Coturnix japonica: one gene and its partners. The protein of the gene in region 7 interacts with the protein of the main gene of each other region in a biochemical or structural test. Links are inferred from orthologs where the notes say so. Each region holds a gene or a part of one and is shown on either strand. Other genes may lie near its edges. The genes, in order: NEDD4, MUL1, MIB2, ARIH1, SMURF2, AREL1 and UBE2D1.

Region 1 (3,500 bases), on a different chromosome or scaffold from region 7:
TGTCAGATCTTTGGCCTAAAACCCATTGCTTCAACAAGTATTATAAGACCACAGTAATTTAAATTAATGGACAGTGTAGTCTTAAAACATGAAATAACTTTTGTAAGTATTATTGCTCTTTCTCCAGAGTTCACAATTAAAAACAGTTAATAATACTCAGCTTGTTCAAGTCTCCACAACCTCACTATAACAGTTTCTAGTATTCACATTTCATATGGTTTATGCTTTACTAACAATAGAAAATGCCTCAAGAGTTAATAAGATCAAACCCTCCGGAAATTCAGTTCGATGTAAGCTTCATTACCAAACAATATATTTAATATAAACCTTCTAGAGCCGAGTACTATAATTTGGACAGCAATGTTGTTGGGAGAGAGATTAAGTTACAGCGTGCTGCTCAGACTGAAGAAGTGGTTGGAAGGGGGAAAAAAAAAAGGAAAGGAAACTGAAAATTCCTGTGGTTCAGGGTGTATACAGAAACAAATGGTATTTACAGTTTCTCTGTTCAAATATAACTTATCTTTAATCTCTCATAAAGTAAACCATACTGAGAATAAAGCCTATATGAAATAAACCTGAAAGCCTTCTTTATAGCAATTTATTCATTTTTGCCAACTTTATATGCAATGTTAATCATTACTATAATTGAGCTGGAAAGTTACGTATTTAAAACTTTACAAAAGTGAAGTTTAGGCATTTAGACATTGAAGTTATTTAAACAAGAAAATCCCTTTGGGTTCATGTAAGCAGGAAATAATTGTGTATAATATATTAAATACAGATATTTCCCTATATGACAAATTCACCAAAAACAGTACCATATTTTAAGAATCAAATCTAAAAAAATGAGTGTTGTGGGTAATATAAAAATTAACCTGCCCAATGATGACAGTCTGACAACATTAAGAAATCCTGAAATAGCTGTGTTTAAAATCTTGATTACAAATGTTATTATTTAAAATTTATAATTTAGTTTCAGCTGCAGAACACTGATTTTTCTATAAGTCAGAACACTCACCTTATGGGGCCTCCACAAAGAAGTGCTGGATATTTCCCTTTTAGAGGTTCCATATCTTTTCTTAACACCACTTGTTTTTCCTTCGTTCCCAGGTCTGAACTGTATGTGCAACTGAGACGTCCTTGCATTATGACACTTGTATTTAAGACTGGATAAACAGCAAGAAACTTTCTGACGCGATCCTTCCAACGAAACACTTCTTTGCAAAACATGGTGGGCTTTGCTCATCTGTGCATTCGGTCTTTCCAGTTCGTTTATATTCATCTGGTATTCTGAATCTATTTTTGAGGGTAAACATGCAGATGTGCTGCGTGCCAGTTTTAAAGGAGGGTATTTTGTAGTGGAGTTCAGATTTAACTCTTGACTGCAACAGCCATTAACCATTTCACTGCTTGATGCAAATGCTCTTGGAGTCAGATGAACTGAAATGCATGAGAATCTGTCAGCTATTTCTTCACGAGCTGTCTGCTCAGAACTGTTCAAAATTCGACTTTTGTCCCGTAATGATGTCTGCAAGTAAAGCTGTCTTATGTCTCTAGCTTCACCAGATGCGCAAACTGTTTTAGACAGTCGAAGTCCATTGACTGCTGTTGAAAGGAATCCCTTAGAAACAGTCTGATCTTCCTTATGTGCCAGCTCACTAGGAGAAATAATTAGTTTATGTGATGTTTGATAGGCACCTCTATGTGGCATCTGACCTGAGGTTACTGGAGTAGCTGGAGGAGTACTGGAAGGGCTTCTGGGGAAAATTACCAATGATGAACACCGCCGCAGCGGAACTTTGGTTTTCTTCCTCACCGACACAGCTTCTTGGTCAAAAGCAGGGTTAATTCTACACACTTCTATTTCCTCCTGAGATGAACTGCTTCTGTATGGACTGTATTTGTTTGCAGTGTTTCCATACGAAGAATCACCATGTACAACACTACAACAGAAAGAACCATCGCTTGTGGAGAGAGTGCCGCTGCCGCTGTCACTGATGACGCTGTTACTATATGAACCTCCATCACTCGTGGTACTTGCACATGATCCATAGTCGCTGCCAGCACTGCTGAAGGACCCATTGTCACTGGCTGCAATACTGTTAAGACTGCCGATGCACACAGCAGTATTGCTCAGATGGCTATCGTTAGCTTGATGATCAACCACAGTTCTGATGCCATAATTTCCTTCATTACAAATACTGATGAATGAAGCATCTTCGCCAGCAGCTGCAGCATCACCAGACCGAAAACATTCATTATGCCTTCTAGATTGCAGAGAAATGTGCAGAGACGTGCTCTTTTTTTTTTGCAGTGAAGAAATAGCTGCATTTCCCTCTTGATTAATTACTTGCTGCATTACAGGTGCACAAGCAACTTGTCTAGAAGCCAGCTTCATTTGTATACCATTAAGTTCAGAATTCTGTGCCTTTTTGAAGTACATTTGATTGTTACTATTCAAAACATCTTCGGAGGTTTCCGGTAACAGATCCGTGTTCCTTCTTTGGGTTGCAAAATGCAGTCTTAACCGTCGTGCCATTTGTTCTCATTTCCATGCATATTAGCAAATTAAAACCACAAAGATCCTTCAGCAGAAAGTTTACAGGCAGCTGCACAGAACCTGGAGCTAGTGCATCACAACAGCAAAAGCCCATAAAAGAAGTTGCAAGCTTTGTCCTAATTTCTACAGGATAGTAGTGTTAAGAAAAAAGATATTGTACCTCTTGAAATCAGTCAGCCATTTGTTGAAGTGCAGTTTCTGGACCGTCTTTGATTGCTCGCAGTCAGAAAGCATTCATTTATAAAGCACTTACATTCCAGCGACCTCAGCTGCAACGTACTGACAAACACTATCAACCTTGTTTCGATTATACCTTCTGTAATTTGCATATATGAATATAATAATAACCTCTCAGCACTTCCAAGTTTAAAACAGCAGCTTCTGCTGCAGCTGCACTAGCTGAGTCAATGTGTCCGTACTTTCCCCAGCAGCGTATGACTACTAATATTTTTACCCATAGGTTTAGAATTACAGGAAGTTGGTAGGAATGAAATCCCATATAATTGAGTATCAAGTCTAGGATTGAATTTCCAAATAGTAGCCATGCTAGCAAACTGCTGAGGTCTGACTTATGCATAAACCAGCAAAATAACCCTCCTCCTTAAAAAAAGTTTTTCTAGGCTATTTAAACAAAACTTGAAAGAAACCTGGCATTACCTAACAATCTGCATTCTGTTTAACCAATCACTCTTTGCAAAGATTTCCACGTAGTGAAAAGGTCTCCTACCAATTAGTTAATGTTTTTTAGTGAGACGCCTCTAAACTCGAAGTGCAACAAGATACTCTGATTAATAATTCAGTGCTTATATCCAGACTGCCATGTTAAATAATATATTTCAACCTTTCCAAATTACAGCTGTTGAAGGTAGAAAGAAACAAAATATTCTTACAGTGCAAAGCAAAGTACCATCTTGTTTGCTGGAAGCCCAGAATAAGCGGA
Region 2 (4,078 bases), on a different chromosome or scaffold from region 7:
CCACCGTGGTCTCTTTGGCCAGTGAGATGCGGGGGTGCAGCTTGCGTGGCCCAAGGGCCCCCATATGCTGAGCATTCATCCACTGCTTTGGCCATACCGGGTGCACTCGGGACACAGCTGGACTATAGGGCTACGTCCCTTTGCTCTTAAAGGGGGGGATGCAGCTGGATCCCCCCATCCCTCTCCTGGAAATAAACCCAATGTGTGTTTTTTGCCTGTGACAGCACCTGTCTCTCGCCAGCCTGGAAGACTCGCGATGGTTTGTTGCTTTTCTGTTCTGTATTTACCCATTTTTTGCACTTCTCGGGGTAAAATATCCACCCCACAGTGGGGGGGGGAGGGAGGGGAGAGGGGTTTCTGCACCTTCCATGCCATTCTACGTGGTGTGATGCTCATGTTGCCATGGCAATGGTGGGGTTTAAATAGAGCAGGCCCACGCTTTGGGTTGGGGGGGGAGGCTGCAATGTGGATCCCAGGCCTGAAACTGGGGGGAAAATACAGCCCAGAGAACCTAAATCAGTGGAGTTTTACACAAAAATGTTTTTTTTTTCACCCAGTTCCTGCTCTATCTGCCTTGACAGGAGCAGCAATGAGGGGGGCACGGTGGAAGGAGCTGAATAAGTGGGGTGGTGGGAGGGGGAACAAGGGGCACTGCTGCCCCATAGACTGAGGAAGGGGATGCACCAGTGGGATGGGGTTTGTGTGAGCTCCCCCCACATACAGCAGCCAAGGAGGGGGTGGGCTGTGGTCCTGATTCCCTCTGAGCTTTGGGGGCTGCCCCCACACTCTGTGGGCTCTATAGAGCTCTATGGGACTGTGGTTTGAGATAACTGGCCCCCGAAAGCACTATGGGGCCAAGATTTGGGCTAACACCCCTATAAATAAACCTATGCAGGGTTATATCTGAGATATAACCAGCATCCTGGGGTGAAAGACTGGGATTTGGGTTAAACATCCTCTGAAAGCCCTTTAAGGCTGAGATATAGGCCAACCCCACACAAAAGGTCCTATAGGGCTGGGATTTAGCTTATCCACCTCCAAAATCCTTGGGGTGAGAGTATGGGATTTAGGCTAAATCCACCCCAAAGGCCCAATGGGTGTGGGATATGGGCTATCCTGCCCTAAAATCTTGCGGTAAAAGGTTGGGATTTGAATTATACCCACCCCAAAGGCCCTATAGGGTTTGGCGGGGCTGTATTGGGGGGCTCTACCAGGAAACCTTACAGCCATAACTCGGAGGACCGCACACTCTATGGTAACGGAGTTGCTTCCAGAGCGCCGCTCGCTTGACGTCATCACTCAGCGCCGCTCGGTTGCCTCGGTAATGGAGGAGATGGAAGGAAGCGGGCGGCCTTCGGCCTTGCAGGCCGCGCTGTTGGCGGCCGGTACGGGGCTGACAGCGCTGCTTTACTCGGTGTACCGGCAGCAGACCCGGCTCTCCCGAGGCCTACAGGTGGGTACGGGTGCTCCTGGACCGGGATGCGGGCTGCTAAAGGCCGTAATGGCTGCTTCGGGCCTAGGCCGCGGCCTAGTCCTGAGCCTGGGCCTAGTGGTTGATCCTCGGCTCCTTATGTCCCATAGGGAGCCCGGAGGCTGCGGTTGGACGGGGAGCTGCGGGCCGTGCTGCTGGAGGCACCAGGCCGCTGTGTGCCTTATGCTGTCATTGAAGGTATTGGTATAGCTAAAGGCTGGGTCTCTTTCCACATCTCCCCTTTGGCTCAAAGGGTTTTGCCCTAAAATCTGCTTTCTTGCACCAGAAATGGGGTAGCACTGCCCTGTAGTGCAGGCTCCTCCTTCACAGACACACACCCAGGGAAGGGGATGGGCTGTGATTCCTTCCAAATGAAAGGGGGAAAACTCCAGCCCTAATAGAAGGCTCTGGGGTATGGGATAGGGTTAGTTCCTTCCGTATGCAATGCAGGTTGGGGTTTGGGCTGGCATCCCTATGGAGCTTAAATATAGCCTGATTCCTGCAAAACTATGGGGTGAAAGGCTGGGGTTTGGGCTGAATGTACCCCAAAGGTCGTGTAGGGATTGATCCCTTCATAAAGGTACTACAGGGCTGGAATTTAGCCTGTCCCCTTCCAGAATCCTTGGGGATGGGATTATGGAATTTAGGCTAAACCCACCCCAGAGGCCCAGAGTTAATCTGGTCCCCAAAATGCCCCAACGAGGCCGGCATTTGAGCTACTTCCCCACCAAAAAAACGCCCCGTGAAGGTGGTATTTGGGCTATTTCTCTCCCCCAAAAACGTGCAGTGGGGGCTGAGATTTGAGCTAAGACCTCCACCACCTCCACAAGACACATTTGGGCTGGGATTTAACCTGTCCCCATCCAAAATCATGGGAGTGAAAGACTAGAACTTGAGTTAAACGTATCCCAGAGCCCTGTGGGGCTGAGTTCTGGGCCTGTACCTCCCTCCCCTTAAAAAATAAAGCACTTTGGGGCTGGAATTTGAGCTAATCTTCCCCCATGACAATAAAAGAGACTTGACCCACAACTCAACCACTCCACGTGTTCCAGGTGTGGTACGTTCTGTCAGGGACACCCTGAGCAGCCAGTTTGTGGACAACTGCAAGGGCGTCGTGCAGAGGCTGACACTGCAGGAGCACAAGATGGTATGGAACCGAACGACCCACCTCTGGTACGTACCTATATAGAACCATAGGACATCCCAAGTTGGAAGGGACCCATAAGGACCTGAAATCAGAACCTTAAGCCTTAGAGCAATGTCTCAACACTCCTTGAGCTCTGGAAGTTCAGGGTTGTACCCTCCACCCCACACATATGGCAGCTGGAGGCCACCCCAAGCAGCCAAATGGAGCATCCCTGCACTGCACTGAGCAGCCTAATAAAGCAGAGAATGGGAAGCTTGATGGTATTGTGGAGTCATCGTGGCTGTGGAGGTGATGAGGATTTAGCTGCCCCTGAGCTCTTTGCCTTGTGACAGCAGCAGGTTTTGCATGGGGGGCACAGGCAGAGTGATAAATGTTGCTGTGTTGAAAGCTGTGGTGTTTCCCTGCTACCTGGCTTAGGTTGGAGGGAACCTTAAAGATTATCAAACTCAAGATTATATCAGCTTGGAGGCTACCTTAAAGATTATCAACCCATGCCATGGGGTTGGATCACCCAACCCAGCCTGGATTGCCAGCGTGAAAGCACTAATGCTTTCTTTATCCCCAGGAATGACTATGAGAAGATCATCCACCAGAGAACCAACACCACAGCTTTCGACTTGGCCCCATTGGAAGACAGCACCGGGGTTGCCGTGAGGGTGATGAAACCACTGGAGGCTGCTGAGCTCAGCCTAGAGACAGTGCATGAGAAGTTCCATCCCTCAGTGCAATCCTTCCCCGATGTCATCGGCCACTACATCAGCGGGGAGCGCCCCAAAGGCATTCAGGAAACAGAGCAGATGCTGAAGGTGGGAGCTGCACTGACTGGTGTCGGAGAGCTGGTGCTGGACAACAACACCATCAAGCTGCAGCCACCCAAGCAAGGTCTGCGTTACTACCTGACCAGCTCCGATTTCGATGCTTTGCTGAGGAAACAGGAATCGAACGCCAAGCTTTGGAAGATCCTGACCATCCTTTTTGGTTTTGCTACGTGTGCTGTTCTCTTTTTCCTCTTAAGGAAACAGTATCGTTACCACCGGGAGAGGCAGCACCTCAAACAGATGCAACAGGAATTCAGGCAAGCTCAGGAGCGGCTGATGCGTGAAGTGAGCACTGAGGGTGGAGAGACACTGAAAAATGCCTGTGTCATCTGCCTGAGCAACGCCAAATCCTGTGTCTTCCTGGAGTGTGGCCACGTCTGCTCCTGCACTGAGTGCTACCGAGCCCTCCCAGAGCCCAAAAGGTGCCCCATCTGCAGACAGGCCATCAGCAGGGTGGTTCCCTTGTACAATAGTTAAAGCGTTGCATCTCAAGGGGGTGTTTTATGGAGAGCTCCCTCTCTCTGAGGGTCCGCCTGCGTCCTGCCCTTCTTGCTGCTGGGTGTTGGATGGCTGGGGGTGGAATCTTGGACTGGGGAAGGGGGAGGGAGCTGAGGAATGATTGGAAATGATTGCAGGTGCTCA
Region 3 (3,500 bases), on a different chromosome or scaffold from region 7:
CATCACTTGTGTATAATTGTGTCATTAAAGATGTACACCACACACGCAAACACATATGGATACATACACACCCTACAGGTGGCCACTTCTGCCAACAGTAACTTTACAGGACAGAATCACCAGGTAATATTTCTTCAGTCAGACAGTTGGAAAACACAAGTACAGCCAGATCCACATTTCAGCTACTGTTTGTACATTCATTTTAATGCTCAGGAAAATATAATTTTATTTTATTAAGTTCTGCTGCAAAACAAAGAAACGAAAACCGAAAACCCTTCTCATTTCTTAATTATGACTCTGTTTTTCTTTACACTTTGATTGGAGCGTTGAACACCTGCCTTTGGCATCATGGTTAGAAAGCTCAGGAGTCTCTGAACGCACGGTTGTGCAAAAAAAGAAAACATGGAAGAGTGTCACTTAGAGAAGTTTTTGTTGTAACAACGTATTTTCTCCAATCAGTGCTCACTACTTTATCTCTAAGGCACACACACACTCTGTCTCTAGGATCTCATCACAGCCACATTTGTCTGTCAGTCCAAATCTCGTCGAGCCTTCAAGTGCTCGTTCAGAGAGCATGCTGTCGTAGGACATGACCTCCCTACCACTGACAGGCAGCAAGGAAAACCAATGGCCACGGCTGATCTCCGGTATCTCCTTGCACAAAGCACAAGCAAACGCTTTACCTGCCGAGGTAGAAGGTACATCCTCCTACAGCATCGCCTTCAGAGCAACGAAAGGCTGCAAGTCTGACACTGCAGGGCACTAGACACGATGCAGTCACTGGAGCACTCCAAACTCCAAACGTCTGTTGGCCTCTGGGCTGAAAGTCTCTTCTGCCTCCAGCAGACAGCTCAGCGTTCTTTACTTCGTGTCTTTCCAAAGGACAGGCAGCACAAGGTGAGGTGGCTGCCTGCCCTCCAGCACCATTCCTTGCCCTTACAGTGCTACAAGTGGAGGACACTCCCACCCCTTCACCTAAGTCACATTTGTTTCCCCCCCTCTTTCACAATGGCTTTGCAGGTAGCCAGACCGAGCAGCGCTTCTCATCTAAAATGCAAACAAAAAGGATGTAAAGGAGGTGGGAACAGAAAGGGAAGCAAGCATATCCTTAGACAAAGATCTGAATCCTCTCCCGGATAGCCTGCCGGCAGATGGGGCACACAGTAAGGGCTGTGCTGCAGTCTGGGCAAGAGCCATGTCCGCACTGGAAGACCAGTTTGATTTGGTCATCGATGCAAATAGGGCAGGTGATGCGCTCTTCCATCTGCCGGTAGCGGTTCTGCAGCTCCTCCATGAGCTTCCTCTGATCTGTGGATTCAGAGCTGGGGCTGCACTCCACCTCGGTGCTGTCTGCAGGGGTGGGAGAGCAGGGAGAGTTAGTTGCTATTGTGCTCTGTCTCATGCAGTGTCTCCTTAACCAGACTGTCACTCCAAGAGCAGCAGTTTGTTCAGTCCTTATCCAGGGATTCTGGATAGCCTGAAATGATGCTTTTTATCAACTGGCCAGTGGTGCTTTCCTCTCTTCTGCTGCTTAATCCAAGCTGTCTGATACTTCCTGCCTTGCTGCTCTGCAATATGTTGGTGCTACCTTTAAGTAAAAGCTTTCAAAGCTGGTTATGACGTTTTGCCACACAGTCCATGAATCCTCACACTGATGTCAGTACTGTGTTCTTTCAACCTCCTTGATTACACTTTGGATTTAATTTTCCCCTTATGTCTTTCAGGACACACGAGGTATGAAGCAAGAAACCATCTGACATCACCTACATCAACATGCATAGAAGCAGCTACACGAAGCAGAGTCCTACAGTCAACACTATGCACAGAATTCAGTGGACCTTAATGAGATCCTTGGACCCTGTTCCTCTGTGCTTTTGTCCAGGCATCAGGACAGAAAACCTGATTCCATGAAGGACGAGTTTAACACTAATGCTATGGGTACCAGATCCCCTTTCCTCCCCCACTCCTGCAAAAAAAATAAGTTAACTCTATTTCTTATGTTTTGGGCTTTTTACCCCCACTGAGAACCACTGATTGCTGCTGGGACAAACACGTACAGCAAACATACCTTGCTTGAGTTTTTTGGTTATTGTCACTTGACATTTGATGCACTTCTTCATTCTTCTGGAGCATTCTACCAAAATGATAGAAGGAGTGATACAATTAAGCCCACTGCTGCAAGAACAATAGGAAGACAATAGACTCGAGAACATGGCCTGAGGACTCCCTGGATAATCAAGAGATGGAAATCAGGACACTGCCTTCTATTTTTGAGCTACATCCTCGTCTCTCACTTCAGTCTATCCTATGCAGTAGCAAACACAACACGACTTCTCAATGCTCTGTGTTGCCAGAACTGCTGTGCTATGGATGCCATACAGCTCTCCATTCTGTGGCTCTGGACACTCCATCTACAGTGACAGTGCTGAAATCATGCTGGGGCTGTTCCAGCTCATGGACAGCTTTGCATCCCAACAGACTCTGATTTATGAATCAGGGAGGCTACGTGGCAGAACAGGAAAGGAAAAGAAAGACAGAACGGACTTACCCTCACACACAATGCTGTGCTGGCATGGGAAGAAATGGATGAGCAAGGCCAGCTCTGAGCAGACCAGGCACTCTGTGGGGACTGCCACACTTGAGACACTAAGGTTGGTCATTGTGTTGGGGGTGGTGTGCACGCGGCGAAGGCTGCAGGTGATGGCTGAGCAGTCTGAAGAAACCTGCTGTTCCCTGCAACCGAGAACATGTAATCAAATTCAGTGAGCTGATAAAATCGTTTTGATCCCTGGCAAACAATTCCATGTGAAGACAAAAATGCAGATGCTCAGGTAGCACAAACTTATCAATCTTCATTGCACTAGTGAGACCAACTCAGCCTCCTGACAGGGAGCTATTCCACAGGACACTGTTTACCTGAATTTCTGCGAGAAGTCTTTGATGATTTGGACAATCCTTCCGTCTGTAATAAGGTCTAAAGGAGACTTTCCCCGATGGTTTGCATAATTAATATCTGCTCCTTCCTGTGCTAAGTAACACGCAATTGCAGTCCCAACATTCAGCTCTGTGTTTCCAAGAAAGCCAGAAGCCTGCAGCTAAAATACATTAAGAAACACACTGTTAATAGAAAGATTCTGTTACGTAGCTGTACCAAGTTTAAAATTAATCATCATAGTGACTATCTGAAAGCACAGTTTTGCATTCACAAAATGCAAGATGATCCTTCAGTGTATAAACAGCAGATTCAAACCTTGTGTTCCTGGAACAAGTGGGCATAAAACAAGTCCCAACTGGTACTGATCATTACTGCCCATAGTAAGGGGTATTCACTTCTTCAGTCAGCAGACAAGAGCTACAAAGTGTATATTGAAAGCACCACAGTGAATATCAGCTGATGGGCAGCTGGCATGTGGAACCTGAAATGGTAGCTATTTAAAAGGCCAACCTTGTGTGCACATGATCCCAAACTCATCTGAAGTCAAAAACAATTTTCTGCTGAC
Region 4 (3,500 bases), on a different chromosome or scaffold from region 7:
TGAGGATCAACAAACTGCTCTCTTCAAGGCACAAAACATGTTTGTTTGTCAGCTCCACACTGGGCCCTGGGATCCCAGGTTTGATTATAGCTTTGGGCAGCTCCACAAGAAGCAGTGCACACTGTATGGAAACAGGCACCAGAACCAGGACCCAACTCGCTCCACGCCACAAACCACAGCCCTGTGGAAGCCCTGAGCACCTATAAAAACACTGAGTGCAGGAACACTCTGTAAAGTGAAGCATTCACTTCTGAAACTTCCCAGTTCTTGATGGTCTCATCTGGAATATCCTCCTCCTTCAGGCACTTCCCCAAGGGGTGTAGGTTCACAAATAAAGTGAAGCATCCTAAAGGCATCCAGGAAGACTTCTCTAATTTTTTTCATGTTACCACCTAAACAGATGAATTAAAATGCTTCTTGACGTGAGCAGTTGCAAAGCTTGAGCTTTTTTCTGCATGTCATGCACATAAGTTGACTGTAAATGTTTCAAAGTCACACACTTAGCAAAGAACTTTGAGATGCTCACCTTGCATTTAACAGGATCATGCCAGTTTTCACCGCAGTTAAAGCTGTAAGGGGAAAAACAGCAAATAAAGTACATGGTTATTCTTTTATTTAATTTGGTTAACATCATGGAAATTTTTCTTCTGAGAGGCCCTGCTGATAGAATATGGAAAACTCCAAGGAAACACTACCCATATTAAAAAGACCCTCAACTCCCATAACTTCATTTGGATATACACTGCATTCAGTCTGGGCATTAATATTAGATTCAACAGGGTCTTATTTTCCTTCTAGCAATCCAGGTAACCTTGCAAAGTTAGCTATCTTATAAACAAAGAAGGTGAATAAAAAGATCTCGCCTGGGAAAGACAATAGAGTTCACTAATTATTAACTTGTATTAGCTTTCATTATTTCATTTTATTACCACTTTCAAAGTGCTAAGTTGAAGGCAACCTTAACTTCTTTTGCTTTATTGTTCTCACCAAAACTGACGTCCACATTTGCAGCGAACAGGTTTAGCATCAGGATACTGGACTTTAACAACATGGTGGCAGTCTGGGGCAGGACACCATTTTAACAGTCGATTACACTATGAAACAAAGCAAAAAGAAACAATATAGTGGATTTGAACATGTACATCCAGGAAACTGGGACAAACCTAAGCTTTCAAAAATCAAGACAAACTCAGAATGGTGCTTTGGGAGCAGTGAAGCTATCAGTATTTTGCTAAAAGACATTTTACAGCTTTACTTCAAATGTCAAATGTTTAAGACACGCTGCTCTTAATAGAAAAGTGTTTCACGATTTGCAGCCTGAGACATCTTAGGTAGCATTCAAAAACCATAAACATTAAGTGCTTCTAAGAAAATAAACACTGAATAGCTCTTGCAATCTTGTAATCTATAGATATTTACCTTATCTTTAGGTTACACCTCTGTAGTCCTACAGATTTTCTCGACTATTTTCCTACAACCAACCTGTAACTAAATGGGCCACAAAACAAGCCCTGCAAAGCCTTTAATTTGTAGTTATATCTGATTAGAGACCACACAAAAGGAAACCTGCTCTGCAGCTATAAACAAACCTCACTCTGGTTCAGTACACAAGCAGGAGGAAAAAACACTCTGGGAGCCATCACAAATTTCAAATCAAAACTCACCTCTACAAAACTATTGGTTATTAAATGCTGGTACTTTAATTTCACCTTGGAATCTGTGATCAGACGCCTGCAGAAAAGGAGAAAAAAAAACCAAATATATTCTTGTAGTAGAAAGGTCCCTTCTCCCCTGTGTGACCAGAAAGTCAAGACAAATGATTCTGATTCTTCCTTCTAAGCTTGCAGGTTTCTTTTTTGTATTTGCTATTTGTTGGTACTGTGAAATTGAAAGGTATTGTATTTAACTTCTAATATTAATTACAGAATCAGACAGACAGCACACACAGTCCAGGAGAAATACCCCCTAAAGAGAGAGGATGGTTTTCATTTAAAAAATACTTCCTTGAGTGACCGAGGAGCAGAGCAAACAGCTTCACCGGCTCATCTACACAGAACAGCCATACTTTGTGTCAAACTCCTTCGCAAGCCTTCAGAATAAGTGCTTCATTGACTTTGGTAGATCTAATGTTATCTGGATTTCAAAAGACTGCTACCATTTCAGTTTTAAAGTCAATGTGTTTTTAATCTGTTGTCAATTTAAATTCAAAACTGATTTGAATTCAATATCACAGGGTACATACAGCACCAACATTAAGTCAGCTTAGAAGCAAGAGAGCAGAAGAAAACTAGACAGACAGGAATCCTTTAAGAGCATGGTGACCAATTCTGGCCCGGCCACACAGACCCAGCAGGTAATTGCAGACTGTCCATACTGAATGTGTTGTAAGTTGTTTCATTACATACTGAAGATCTCTGCGTACATTTCTCAGTTATGAAAGAAACACCTGCGTTTATAAAGCCTTGCAACACAAAGCTGGATGCACTTTGTGGTATTTGTTTTAAATTAAACAGGATTTCAGCTTGACAAAACCATACCACACAAATATTGCAATCAATACACCATTCCAGGGTGCAGCCAGAATCAAGTGTGCTCCTGCATGTTATCATGTCAACATGCACTAAAGGACAGCACGTGACGCTGGGATGTTGCATAAACCCTCGCCCTGAGCAGTCTGGGGAGCTCCTCGACAAATGACACACCAGTTATTACATAAACACAGCACGTGACAGCCAAATTCCCAGCGCTAAAATAAAAACAAACCAAGTGACAAAGCATCTCATCAGGCCCATGTCCATAAGCCTGCAATGTCAAAGTGAAACTAATCAAAAAAGAAAAACAAAAAACCCAACACTGAATTTTAACATGTCGTGTGAATTTCAAGACTCTCTTTCTTACTCTATACATAAGGTTCTAAAGCATTAAAAAAAAAAACACAGTAAGTTTTATCTGTGACATTTAACGTATGCATCAGGAACTGCAATTGAGGAGTAATGCCATACCCAGCCCGGGCACATGGAACACATGACCCGTGGCCTTTGCATACCAACCTCCTGGACTGGTCCATGTCAACACCCTCACCTCTCTACGTTCAGCTTTGATGAGCACTATTGGATTTTTCCCCCACAAACAATGAAATAAACCAAACAAATTAAGAGATGAAACCCATTCCCAGTGCCCACAAACCACCCCTTGGGTCCATTCTTCTACAAGCCAAGACACAAACGAGCCAACCTCACTGAAGATACCAGGCTGGAAAAATACACTGCTTACAAGGGAAGTATCATCCCTTCATCTCTATAAGCAACTAAGTTCTGAAAATACTACACACACTGGCATTTTCAGACTGATTTCAAATTCATCTCATGTAAATTTAAAGCAATTACCAGCACTGTTAGCAAGGGTGAAGAAGGGCTAGAAGCAGATTACCTTCAGCTAGTCTGAAGATCTCCAAAGAGCTGAAAGGGGCCCTATTCTAAGCCTCCCTGCTCAAAAAGCCT
Region 5 (3,500 bases), on a different chromosome or scaffold from region 7:
TGAACGTTTAATTAAATTTCAATACACCTTAACAACAACAAGGAAACCACCACCACCCAACACATAACCAGAGCTGTTTGATATCTTTTTTTAGTTTGTTTTTATATACAGCACACTGGGTACGTTGCTTCAAGTCCAGAGTCTTACTGTTAAGAATCAAAACAAACTCCATTTCTCCCAAAGGAAACATAAAACAATATCTTACAGAAAATTAAGATCATTTGAGATGTTTCTTTGTTTCTTTGATCCATACTAACAACAAATTATGTTATTTCATTCATTTAGTTTCTAGCAATATTAACGTGAGAACTAGATTCTTAAATCTAGAACATTATTCTCCACATGTACCTAACTGCTGGGTCACAAAAGCATCATTTTACTTAACTCCTATTGTCAGTCATACCGGGTTAACTGCAGAATCTGGGTTGATTTGCAGTGTGTAGATATCATCTCGGGAATACTGGAAGAGCCCATAGTATGGATTCAGCATTTCATGTGACAACAGGTAGAGCCACTCCCTGAAGAACAAGAAAGAAGAAAGAATTTACTGCATAACCTTAGATAAATTAATTTGCATATTGAGAATCTTTTCAATCTTTTCAAAGGACAGCTATGCACGTGTAGAAAGCAGAATTATTTTCACTGGTTCAGTAATGCACAGCACCTGTCAGCTGCCAGGATTTTCCTTCAAGTTGCTTTCCAAGAGTCACTGATTATGATTCTGTCACCAAGTTGACTGTTCAGTGGTGTACATACACTCCCAAATACCCAAGCTTTTCCAATTGATACAGGTTGCATCAGAGACACCTTTGGTAACAGGCATTTTGATTTATTTACAATAAATTCTCCTTGCTTTTTTTCCTTGAAAAGACTATCTGAGATATATACACTCTTCTGACATACAGCGTTACTAGAACAAATAGAACCACAGAATTTTAAAAGAAAAAGAGTCGTTGTCAGTTTGGTTTAGGAATCAAAGTGGTGCAGCTGGTGGGGCTGAGGAAAGGGATGGAGGACACACTGTTTACCTGGCAACACCTCCATAATCAAGACCTTCCTCCCCACGGAACTTTATCATTAATCGTTTCCATAGATCTTTTGGCCTCATCTTCATGACTTGCCTGTAAGATTCCTGTAAATACACAACACATTCTTTTATTAACTGCTATTTAGAGACAAGAAGCTACTACTGCTTATTAGAAACAAAGGGAGTCTCAGAATCTAAGCCCAAAGGGGATGTTGTTTTCCTAGAGACTGCTGTTTCTCCAATCACAAACTGTTACATAGCTTTCTATAAATGTGATAATGCTTGTCAAGTAAAAAATAGTGTGAAAAGCCAACAGTGGTACTTCTACTGACCAGAAGATATGCAAACCTTCACAAAGCATCTTAAGATGCTTAAGCATCATCAGCACCACCGCCATCCCAGTAAATCTATGGAATTATTGCTCTATCAGTAAGACTTCATCAATACAATATAAAAAGAATGCTAAAGAAAGAAACCAAATGCTCATTTTATAAATGGAATTAAATCAAAGGTTTTATTTATGATGCCCCCAATCTTTGTTTTTGCAGAAGAGAAGAGGCAGGCATGCCTGGGACGCTTCAGAAAAAGAATATAATAATTTCCACTCCTTTACAGCAGCATTTCTCCCCCTTCTTTTTCAGTTTATTATTAAGTGATTTGACTGTCTCCATTGGGAATACCAACACAAATATTTCTTGGCTGGAAAAATGGTGACAACGCAGTGGGGCTATCATGTTTGTGGGTGGAGTAAAAACACAACAGGGATGGGTGGGATGGGTGATAAAGTTTTTGAGACAAACAGGCTTCAGCATTTTGTCTAACTGAATGACTTCTTCAGACAGTTATGGATAACCCTCCTCCCCTTCCCTCAGTGTTAACAAATGGGTCAAGATCTCAAATTACCTCAAAAATCTCTTCCCTGGAGACCTCAATACGACAGTGGCCAGCTTGAGGTTGCTGCTGTGACAGCTCTTGCCTCAGGATCTTGAGTTTCTGCACCAGGTCTCGTTTGTACCTTGGCACAGTCAGACATTCTGCCTCATCTGGAAGCTGACACAGGGACACTACCTGCTGCTGCTGCTGGTGCTGCTGATCTTTAAGTTGATTCTGGCGGCTAGAAACAAACACAGCTGTTTGCAGATATTCAAGTCATACGTCTCCTGTTTTCTTCATGTGTTTCTTAAAGGTTAAGTCTTAGTAACTGACGTACTTTCGATTTACTATGATTACTGTGATTACACTAACAACATTCAGGCCTAGAAAAAAGTAAATTCAGAGAGATTTTATCCTGACTAAAGACATATGCTTCTGTCTTTCTTGGCAACTATCAGTTGTTTTTAGAGTTGGTTATTTCTATTAGTAGTACTCTACAAAGTATGTAAAAGGTTACAGCACGATATAATAAGGTATTAACCATACAGTTTTACTACTAAGCTGCTGACACTGAATTTCTCAGATACCATTTCCATATTTCCTTTGCGTGTTTTGCCTTCCTCCAATTTAAAATTCAAGGATCAGCCAAACACTATGCCTCTAATCTACACTCAATACCATAGTCTGTTTTAAATGGCTTGCATGAAAAAGAGTAAGCTTACAAAAAGATGTTTGTACTGGCAGCTTGGCAAGGACCTTGTCCCTTGTACCTGGCCTAGTCTGGACCACAGGAATGTGGGGAGCTCACATGTAACTAACTGGCACAGATAAGCAAGTATTTTTACTAGCAATTCTAAGAGATTTTGTAAATCTGACTTCTTACTGGACAAAGTCAGTTTTGAGCAGAGATGTCCTTTCTCATGTCACTTCTCAAGTAGGCCTTTTTGCATGGCTTAGCTTTTTAGTGTGGCACTTCCAAACAAGAGGACAAAAGCTGTATTTCCCCTAAAACTTGAAAAGCCTCTGTGCAGGACATGTGATAATGCCCCAAACTGACTGGATAAATAGGAAAGGTCACAATTTAGATATATATTTTTTTCCAATGCAACGTCAATTTATTTTTTTCCAACAACAAAACCAAACATATGAGACAGAACCTCACACAACTTCAATACCTCTTAAGATTTCAGTCCATTGCCTGTTTTGAAACAAAGTCTACTGAGAAAGCTCCCCTGACCAACCAAACTTCATTTCCACCGGGCTTTCACCACCACAGCATTCATTTTTGGCAGTTAAAAAAAGAAGTGGGAGTGTTCCCAGTTTGCCCTGTGGTTCTGACAGCCATTCGGTTATTTTCAAACCTTTTATTTAAAGTTAATTTGCACAAACCACATTCAAGTGAAATTTACTCCAGTCTACAGGGATCATCTATATCCTATGTCTTACAAACCTACCATCTAGAAGCCCCTGCAGTGACACACATTTGGATCAGCTCAGCAACAGCTGAAAGCTTATTCTTAATAATATTATCATTTTACATCTGGGCTATAAGAAGAAAATAATGCACAGCAACCCAATTCTGTCATGATGCCTTAGGATG
Region 6 (3,500 bases), on a different chromosome or scaffold from region 7:
AAAAGTTACTATTATTCCCTGCTTCTACACAGTGCAGGGCCTGAAGTACTATGTTTATGGGCTGACAGGGAGAGAAACCAGCACATGCAACAGATCCTGTTGATGAATAAAGGACTAAGCAAAAGTGAGACAAGTATGGCACGCACAAGCAGATTGCCGGAGCTGCCATGAATGAGTCAGTGAGGTGAAGGGAGTAAATTTAAATAGCAGGAACAGAACAAGTTCCTTTTAGCTCTTTTTAATTCTCTGTTCTAGAATTAGAACCCTGTCTCATTTACCATCAAGTAAAATGGTTTCCATCATCTTCTCAAAATGATAACATAGTTGAAACTTCCTTCTTTGTTACCCTTCTGGCTGGATACGGTGGGGTGGAAAGCACAGGTGCTCAACAAAACCTGTTCTAATGATCCCCACTTAACTCCAGACCCCCAGTGTTCAGGCCCCTCATGAATCTCATTTGTATTCTTGACCCATTCCCCTAAACATGGCCTTTTGGGAGTGGGGGGGGAAAAAAAAAAGAGTCCTTGGCAAGCTTTTACAGATCAAAAAGGTAACACCCAGAGTTTTTAGAATAACTTCTGATAAGATGGGAGCAGCCAGGAGGACTTACAGCTCTAGGATTGCCAAAATGCTCAGTGCCATGTTCCTGGCTTCAGCTGCATAATCTGCATAATATGCATTCAGCTGCATATATCCAAAATATATGACCAAGTTGGCTGAAGGCAAGGCTCAGCCCACTCGCTTCCCAGCAAAGGATGCAATAGTAGGGCAAGCCTGGTTTCCTCTGATTATTCCAAGGAACCTAGAGACTGTGATCAGATTTTATTGGAGAGCAAACCTTGGATATGCACTTAAAGAGCTCTGTAACACATTAATAGAGCAGAACACAAGAACAGATAGCTTTCCTACTCCTAATTAGGAAACTCTAATTCAGACCTATGTCCCTGCCCCAAAGATACTTGGAAACAGAAATATTCCCTTACATGCACTCGGAAGGCCATGCTATGGCCCACCTCATGGGGGTCCTTCCAATCCCAGGAGATTTTGCAGGACCGGGGATCCAGGTAGTTGCCTCGCACGTAGTCATAAATAGTTCGCTCCCCTCGGCGCTCCCGGTCCTCATGCTGAAGGAAGCTGACTATACGTGCGGCAAGCTCAAAGAGGAACTTAATGGTGAAGAAGAAGGCTACCACAGACACTGTGATCCCACCTGCACAAGGAGAAAACAGATGGTAGTCACAGTAGCACGAAGAATCAAGCACGAATGTCACATCTTCATTATCCCAAGATGCCTTTTATTGATGATATTCTACTCAACTGCAAATTAGACGTTTAAGGCAAAAGCTACTGTGCAAACATTTATGGACTGTGTTATGCTAGAAGTTAGGTTAGAAAACAATACATCCCTTAAAACACTGCAAATGATTGCAAGTGGAGGAGAAATAGGCAAAGGTGGTACAGAGTCTCAGGCATGGCCAGCAAAAACACAAAATTCCCTCTGAGTTGCAAATTAGAACTACAGAGATTTCTTTAAGGGAAACAGTCAGATAGCCACACAAACCCTGCACATCACATTAAGCCTGGATTAAGAAGCATCATGGAGGCAACAACCCTACCCTAGTTCTAAAGAGAAAAAGTAAGGGGATGGCTTAGGAGTGAGGTCAATGGAAGAACTCTGGAAACAAGAAGAATGGTAAAGGGGCAAGTCTGCCAAATGGAGTACACAGTGCAGGGTGACAATAACTTCATGTTTGTTAGGTAGACTCTAACGTGAAATCAAAGGCTTCTGGTAAATCTCTCTAATGCCTATGGAGAGGTCAACAAACACATTGGCAACCTTTCCTTCACTTACCAATAATGTAAAACATCAGGTCCCTTCGGTGAGACACAAAGCCGAGGATCACAGCTGCATCTAGAACACAAAATAGGCCAAGTCCAGACCAACAGCTCTTCCTCACATACACTGGCCTAAATTTAGTCTATGATTCCTCAAACAAATACCTATCATCTATCTCCCTCTCCAAGGACATCTTTAAGGCATTATTCCATGATACTGAAATATACAATCAGTGCGCTAAAAGGACCAGTTCTTGCACCATCACAGATTCCTGTTCTGATCCAGTGACCTATCCTCAAAAAACAAACGGTGGGTTTTGGGTGCTGAAGGATGAGCTAATTTTGCAGGACTTCAACAAAAATATCTGAAAGCCACTCATTGGAAATCTCAAAGCTACAGGAATCAAGTCACAAAGTTAATGTCTAGACTGCCATGGAAGTGTATAATAGAGCCAACACCAAAACAGATAGAAACTGACCCTCAACCAGGAACTTTATAAGAAAGTCTATGGAATAAAAAGGATGTGGACAAGACCATTCTGATTGGTTCAGAACAAATAAGATCCTCCAAGGGCAAGAACGAATTCATTTTTTAATATTTTTTTCCTGCCTTGTGCCTCTACTGTAGAATGCAGAAAAAGCTGTCCACCTCTGTGCACTCGCTTCTGAAAAGCAGAAACTCTTGCTGATCAACTTGCAAGCTAAAATCTTGATTTTTGCAGGCTATTAAGATAACAGTAAATTATAGAGACACCAATCTAAAATTAAATTCTCACTGAGGAGGGTGCTAAACAAACATGTAGTAAAAAGACTACACCCTGAACAACATGTTCATGGTTGATAAGACACAGCTGACAGATGGAACAAGCAGCAGCAGCAGCAGCGAATGTGTGCAACAATCAGACAACTTGGCATACACTAATGCATCCAATATAGCTCACCAAGTCACCATTCTGTTAGTGAGAAGCTACATTGTGCATTCAAACTGTCTTTAAAGAAATATATAGACAAAGGGGGAGTTATTCAGCAGTCATCTCAACAGCAGTAGCAATGGACACCAGCATGCAGAAGGCTTAAATGAGGCGTGTATCCCCCCGGGCCACAACAACAGCCATCATTTTCCAGCCCAGCAAATGCCCTTTGCTGGTCCCCCACATCCCCCTCCATCCCCCCCTAAAGAACAATCACTTACCTTTATGCAACTGCCCATGTTCTAAAAACCAAAAGGGTGGAACCCATTCTTCAGCATCCTTCCTCCTTATGCCCAAGTGGGGCAAATGTCAGCACAACGAGGCCATAGAAAAGACTGCCACAGAAAATGGAACTCCTGGAACTTGCATCACAAGAAGAACAGCTGAAAGGTGAGGACCTGAGCACAGCAACCTCTTCCTCTTTGTGTAAAAAGGTTGACCTGAAGCACAGCTCCCTGTAGCCTGTAGTTTGATAGCCTCCCTGGATAAAGAAGAAAAAGTAAAGTTAGATCTTTCTGTCACTGACAACAAGTCTAGCAAGTACAGACAGGTGAGAGTTGCACTACAAGAGTATCACTAGATGTCAAATCCACAGAAACAATCCTACAAAGATATCACAGTCAATGAAGTGCTTGGCTTCAACATGTTCTCATTCTCCATATAACACTCTCATTCCATATGATCTACTGAAAA
Region 7 (4,139 bases):
CTCTCCCTCCTCTCCCCCTCAGCCCCACACAGCCCCACAGCCCTACCCACCCCGCACGGCGCCATTCTGCCCCAGCCCCATGGCTCCCGTTCCGCAGAGGACACACACAGCTCCGCAGGGCGCACGCGCCGCAGCCCGCCCCTTCTAAAGGCCGTGAAGGCAGCGAGGGGAGGAGCTCCGCAGGGCCGCACCTCCAGGCCGCGAGGGGGCGGCGGTGGCCGCGTCGCCCATCCGGTGCCCCGCGGACACGGACACAAAGCGCCCGCCGCCCGCCCCGCCCCTCGCTGTTACTTCCCGTTCCGCCGGCGCGTGCGGATGCCGTTATCCGCCCGCCCCACCTCCCGGCCCTCCCCCGCCGCGCTCCTCGCTGCCGTCTCCCTGCGCTCCCATGGCGCTGAAGCGGATACAGAAAGTGAGTGGGGGCTGTGGGGCCGCTGTGGGGCTGCAGCCGCCGGGAGGGCCGCTGTGCTGTTGTCTCCGTCAGGTTGGGGGGGGAAGGACGGGTTTGTCGCTCGCTCTCCCTGCCCTGAGGGGAGCGAATATAGCGTGCGGAGGGATATTGCGGCCGTAGGACTCGTGTCGGTGTGTCGGCACGTTGTGTCGCGACAGATGGCAGCAGTAGTGTGGCATTACGACGTGGGGTCTGTCGTGGTAAGGCTTACAAAGCAAAGGTGTATCCCTGAGTCCCTCCGTGCGGATAAAATGGCACCCGTTGCTGTACATCGATGCCTGCTGATGTACAGCCTCTCTATTCCAAGGAGACCGAGGGGACGGGGGGTGTTTGTGCAGTGCTGACGTTGGGGCAGCTCTGCTGGCACAGGCTGCTCTTCATCACTGCCAGAAATACACAGCTAACGGTGGTGGCCGTGTTGGAAAACAGCGTTTTGTAGCCGAGGATTTGCTCTATCAAGCAGCACCGTTGTGCTTTTTGTATCTTGTGATTTCCATGGATATAAACGGGAGGCATTACTTTCGGAGCAAGCTCCACCTCACGCTCTGTCGTGCCTCTATGCGATATGGTGATGCTTTGCGCTTTCTTGGCTTTGGATTTTCTCGCTTTTTCTTCAAGTCCTGCATTTGGAAGAGGGGGATTGTTCCGAATACCTTATTTTTGTCCCATTAAGATGAACAGACAAAGCAAGTGGGAGGTCTGGTGGTGTTGTGGTGTCAGAATGGTGGCATCTATGGAGGTAGCACAACTGCAGAACTTGAGTCTTAGTGTCTTACGTCATATAGGACTGATACCTAAACAGTCCAGCTGCTCTGATCTGTGTCATTACTGCCTTCTTTCACTGGTCTGCTTTGAAGGACTCCATAAAGGACACCCTGTGGACTTGAGAGCTGTACACGAATAATGGAAGGCAGCGAAAGAACAACCCGCTGCTTGGTGGGTGTTGTTTATTCTGGATGTTAGCAATTATTTTACTTACTTAGAGATTTTGAAACCAGCAGCATCTTCTCTGACACATTTGCAGACTGGTTTGATAATAGCTGTTGTTTTCCATCTTGTCAGCATAGTGCTTGATTGTTTTTCTCCAGCCACTCAGTAAGAATGGAGGCATTCCAATGCTCAGATATGCCGTTGAACTAAATGTCTGTTTGTTTCAGCATGTGTTTCATATGCATAGATGGGTGGGACGTGCCAGCTTACATCTTCATGTTGAAAATAACTTGGCTTCTTGTTGAGCTGCATCTTCCTTTGGGTTAATACAGGAGAAGAGGTGGATGTGAGCACTTAGTAGGAAGTACAGTGCATTGTGTAGCTGAGAAACTTCCAAACCTTGCTTTTAAATAATGGTGTGGGGGAAAAGCTCTGGATGTGGTTTCATGTATCTTAAAGAATTAAAATAGCTTCTAGTGATGCTGCTCATGGTCTATTTCTGGCTCCTGATAGCCTGCAGGCTTGCTTAGCAGTAAAAATGAGGAATATTTTTAGGTCTCTCTTATTAGTACTCCCGCTTACTGAGTTTCCATAGGTACCATGCTTAAAACATCCATCTCCCTGTTGTCAAAGTATCCAATCTCATTCCAGTGGCTTTGGAGGAGACAATATCTAACTGTGTTTAATGTGGCACATAACAGCTTGAGCAGCTGCGCTGTCCTCACCAGCTTCACAATTCTTTAGTGCAATATTTTATTTAATTCAGTATTTCTTTCAGTGCTTGAGAGGATTAGAAGACTTAGTGTCCTATCAGTGTCCTCAGCTTAGTTGTCTTCTCTATCCGAGTTGATTATGGTCCTATTGGGGTAGAGCATGGTGTGTGCTGGAGCATGTTGGTGTCAGTATGTTATTTCTTGAGAGGAAAGCCTGGCATGAGTTGGGTCTGTTAGGGTGTGGAAGTTTGGTCCAACTGTTTTTCACAGCTATAAAAGCTTTCTTAATGTCTGAACATGACCTTCACTTAAAACATTGGGTTGAAGAGTGACTTGTCTTCATCATGGTTGGAAAATAACATGATTGGATTGATCTAGGTCTTAGCAAGCTGTGGTTAGAAGCATGCTTTTATTGTGGACGGTTGACAGTGTCTTTAGCCTAAACAAGTTGGAAATGTACACCTTCCTAGCTCCTACCAGTTAGGAAGTACAAGTGTTGGTATGAATCAATGAACTAGTCTTGAAGGTCTTGATAAAAGCATCCAACAAGAGTCACATATAATTGCTCTAAGATGGAATTCTTGGGTTTTGAGATGTCCCTTTTGGCCATCGGTCTTGTGCAGATTGCTGTCTTAATCTTGTGTTTTTCATGCAAACTCGGTGTTCTCTTGTTGGACCTTGTGTTGCAAGTCAGAGCAGACAGTGGCAGGAGCTGCCCATGGAGTCTGGTGATGCGTTGGAAACTTGAGACTTGTTGACTTCTTGTGCAGGCAGTGACTTGGTTACCCTTCTCTGTGCTGTTCCTTCATGAAATTTGAATCCAGATCAAAAAGCAGCTGCACTTGTACAGGATTCTGCTCTTGGTGCTTAGGCTGAGCCTACGCGGGGTGCTGCTTCTCATACAGCTTAGGATTCCCCCAGAGCAGTGAAGCTGGGGGCTGGCAATTCACCCTGTAGTTGTTTGAGTATAGCAGACAACTCCCTTGTTTTCAGTCCCATAGTTGAAGGAGTGACTTAGTGAGGCTGTAACATAACTACATAGCTTCAAAACGTTATAGGCCTACTTAATAAAACCTTAGTGTCTTCATTTTGAAGTGATGACGCTGTGTGCTGTCTGCTTGTGTGTTTAATTGCCAATATTTGTGTGTTACTTACAGGAACTGAGTGATCTGCAGCGAGACCCCCCAGCCCACTGTTCTGCTGGACCTGTTGGAGATGACTGTAAGCTCCTCCTGGGACGTTGCCATGGCTCATCTTATGTCAGTTAAGAAAAAGCTTACAAAAGTTCTCATTCTTTTATCTTTTTGACTTGCAGTGTTTCATTGGCAAGCCACTATTATGGGACCTGTAAGTATTATAACTCATTCCCCCTTAAAAACTAGACTTGTTGCCGTTTACGTTACGGAAGTGGTCGTTTGGCTTTCTATTAACATGGCAGTCAAATTCAGCTGTGCTGTGTGCTGACTAATGATTTGGGGCTTACACTGTTGTTTCTGGTAGTCTAATACTAATTTCTTCTTTTAACTGATCAAAAAAGTCTTTCTTTTTCTGCCTGAAATTAGGGATGCTTAATCGGTCAACTGCAATGCTCGAATTAGTTGAAAGATCTTTTTGAAGATGGTTCCAATTCTGAAAGATACAGCCATCTGAAAGGAGAAAGAGTTATGTAATGCAACGTTGAAGTTGCTAACTGTAAACAAGATTGGTGTTGTGCAAGATTGGGGGCTTTTAGGATATAGCAGGGGGTGTGAAGCGGCTCTGGCAAAACTGGCTTTTGGGAACTCTAAGCCAAGAGAACTTGCGGTTTCTGTGTGAGAAAGATGTCCTCAATCTGAAGAAAACCTCTGAAAGATGCAATCTATGATTCACGACACAAGAGGAGGCGACAGCTTAAGAACAGAACGTTCTAAAGGAAAATGAGCGAGGGTGTGAGCAAGAAGAATGAATGAAAACACCACCTGAGAGAAAGGGTGCTTACAAATAGCACGGCAAGAAGCTGGTATTCCTGGTGTTTTTCCTTTGGATGCAGTGACTCTGGAGGAAAA

What was found.
Region 1: the proteins of UBE2D1 (region 7) and NEDD4 form a complex in vitro, tested with the Homo sapiens proteins (14 studies listed by BioGRID). The link is inferred for Coturnix japonica from reciprocal best matches to the Homo sapiens genes UBE2D1 and NEDD4.
Region 2: the proteins of UBE2D1 (region 7) and MUL1 form a complex in vitro, tested with the Homo sapiens proteins (4 studies listed by BioGRID). The link is inferred for Coturnix japonica from reciprocal best matches to the Homo sapiens genes UBE2D1 and MUL1.
Region 3: the proteins of UBE2D1 (region 7) and MIB2 form a complex in vitro, tested with the Homo sapiens proteins (2 studies listed by BioGRID). The link is inferred for Coturnix japonica from reciprocal best matches to the Homo sapiens genes UBE2D1 and MIB2.
Region 4: the proteins of UBE2D1 (region 7) and ARIH1 form a complex in vitro, tested with the Homo sapiens proteins (4 studies listed by BioGRID). The link is inferred for Coturnix japonica from reciprocal best matches to the Homo sapiens genes UBE2D1 and ARIH1.
Region 5: the proteins of UBE2D1 (region 7) and SMURF2 form a complex in vitro, tested with the Homo sapiens proteins (4 studies listed by BioGRID, with this or other methods). The link is inferred for Coturnix japonica from reciprocal best matches to the Homo sapiens genes UBE2D1 and SMURF2.
Region 6: the proteins of UBE2D1 (region 7) and AREL1 form a complex in vitro, tested with the Homo sapiens proteins (5 studies listed by BioGRID). The link is inferred for Coturnix japonica from reciprocal best matches to the Homo sapiens genes UBE2D1 and AREL1.

The regions. Positions count from the first base shown.
Region 1 is NC_029525.1:6,722,655-6,726,154, reverse strand, and holds part of NEDD4 (E3 ubiquitin-protein ligase NEDD4), read right to left. Parts: 5' UTR 2,540-3,500; coding exon 1,019-2,539; intron 1-1,018. UniProt on the Homo sapiens protein: E3 ubiquitin-protein ligase which accepts ubiquitin from an E2 ubiquitin-conjugating enzyme in the form of a thioester and then directly transfers the ubiquitin to targeted substrates. Specifically ubiquitinates 'Lys-63' in target proteins.
Region 2 is NC_029536.1:4,256,271-4,260,348, reverse strand, and holds the start of MUL1 (mitochondrial ubiquitin ligase activator of NFKB 1), read left to right. Parts: upstream 1-1,278; 5' UTR 1,279-1,324; coding exon 1,325-1,453; intron 1,454-1,581; coding exon 1,582-1,669; intron 1,670-2,523; coding exon 2,524-2,644; intron 2,645-3,183; coding exon 3,184-3,913; 3' UTR 3,914-4,078. Other genes in the region: protein FAM43B, read left to right, coding at 1-71. UniProt on the Homo sapiens protein: Exhibits weak E3 ubiquitin-protein ligase activity. E3 ubiquitin ligases accept ubiquitin from an E2 ubiquitin-conjugating enzyme in the form of a thioester and then directly transfer the ubiquitin to targeted substrates.
Region 3 is NC_029536.1:1,724,293-1,727,792, forward strand, and holds part of MIB2 (E3 ubiquitin-protein ligase MIB2), read right to left. Parts: intron 3,096-3,500; coding exon 2,917-3,095; intron 2,734-2,916; coding exon 2,549-2,733; intron 2,135-2,548; coding exon 2,069-2,134; intron 1,351-2,068; coding exon 1,109-1,350; 3' UTR 1-1,108. UniProt on the Homo sapiens protein: E3 ubiquitin-protein ligase that mediates ubiquitination of Delta receptors, which act as ligands of Notch proteins.
Region 4 is NC_029525.1:1,052,449-1,055,948, reverse strand, and holds part of ARIH1 (E3 ubiquitin-protein ligase ARIH1), read right to left. Parts: intron 1,732-3,500; coding exon 1,665-1,731; intron 1,095-1,664; coding exon 988-1,094; intron 570-987; coding exon 527-569; intron 1-526. UniProt on the Homo sapiens protein: E3 ubiquitin-protein ligase, which catalyzes ubiquitination of target proteins together with ubiquitin-conjugating enzyme E2 UBE2L3.
Region 5 is NC_029533.1:7,225,771-7,229,270, reverse strand, and holds part of SMURF2 (E3 ubiquitin-protein ligase SMURF2), read right to left. Parts: intron 2,142-3,500; coding exon 1,931-2,141; intron 1,133-1,930; coding exon 1,029-1,132; intron 519-1,028; coding exon 404-518; intron 1-403. UniProt on the Homo sapiens protein: E3 ubiquitin-protein ligase which accepts ubiquitin from an E2 ubiquitin-conjugating enzyme in the form of a thioester and then directly transfers the ubiquitin to targeted substrates.
Region 6 is NC_029520.1:34,490,080-34,493,579, forward strand, and holds part of AREL1 (apoptosis-resistant E3 ubiquitin protein ligase 1), read right to left. Parts: intron 3,289-3,500; 5' UTR 3,029-3,288; intron 1,913-3,028; 5' UTR 1,869-1,912; coding exon 1,853-1,868; intron 1,211-1,852; coding exon 984-1,210; intron 1-983. UniProt on the Homo sapiens protein: E3 ubiquitin-protein ligase that catalyzes 'Lys-11'- or 'Lys-33'-linked polyubiquitin chains, with some preference for 'Lys-33' linkages.
Region 7 is NC_029521.1:5,286,812-5,290,950, forward strand, and holds the start of UBE2D1 (ubiquitin-conjugating enzyme E2 D1), read left to right. Parts: upstream 1-1,339; 5' UTR 1,340-1,354; coding exon 1,355-1,387; intron 1,388-3,251; coding exon 3,252-3,315; exon of another isoform or gene 3,316-3,409; coding exon 3,410-3,441; intron 3,442-4,139. Other genes in the region: CISD1 (CDGSH iron-sulfur domain-containing protein 1), read right to left, coding at 51-81.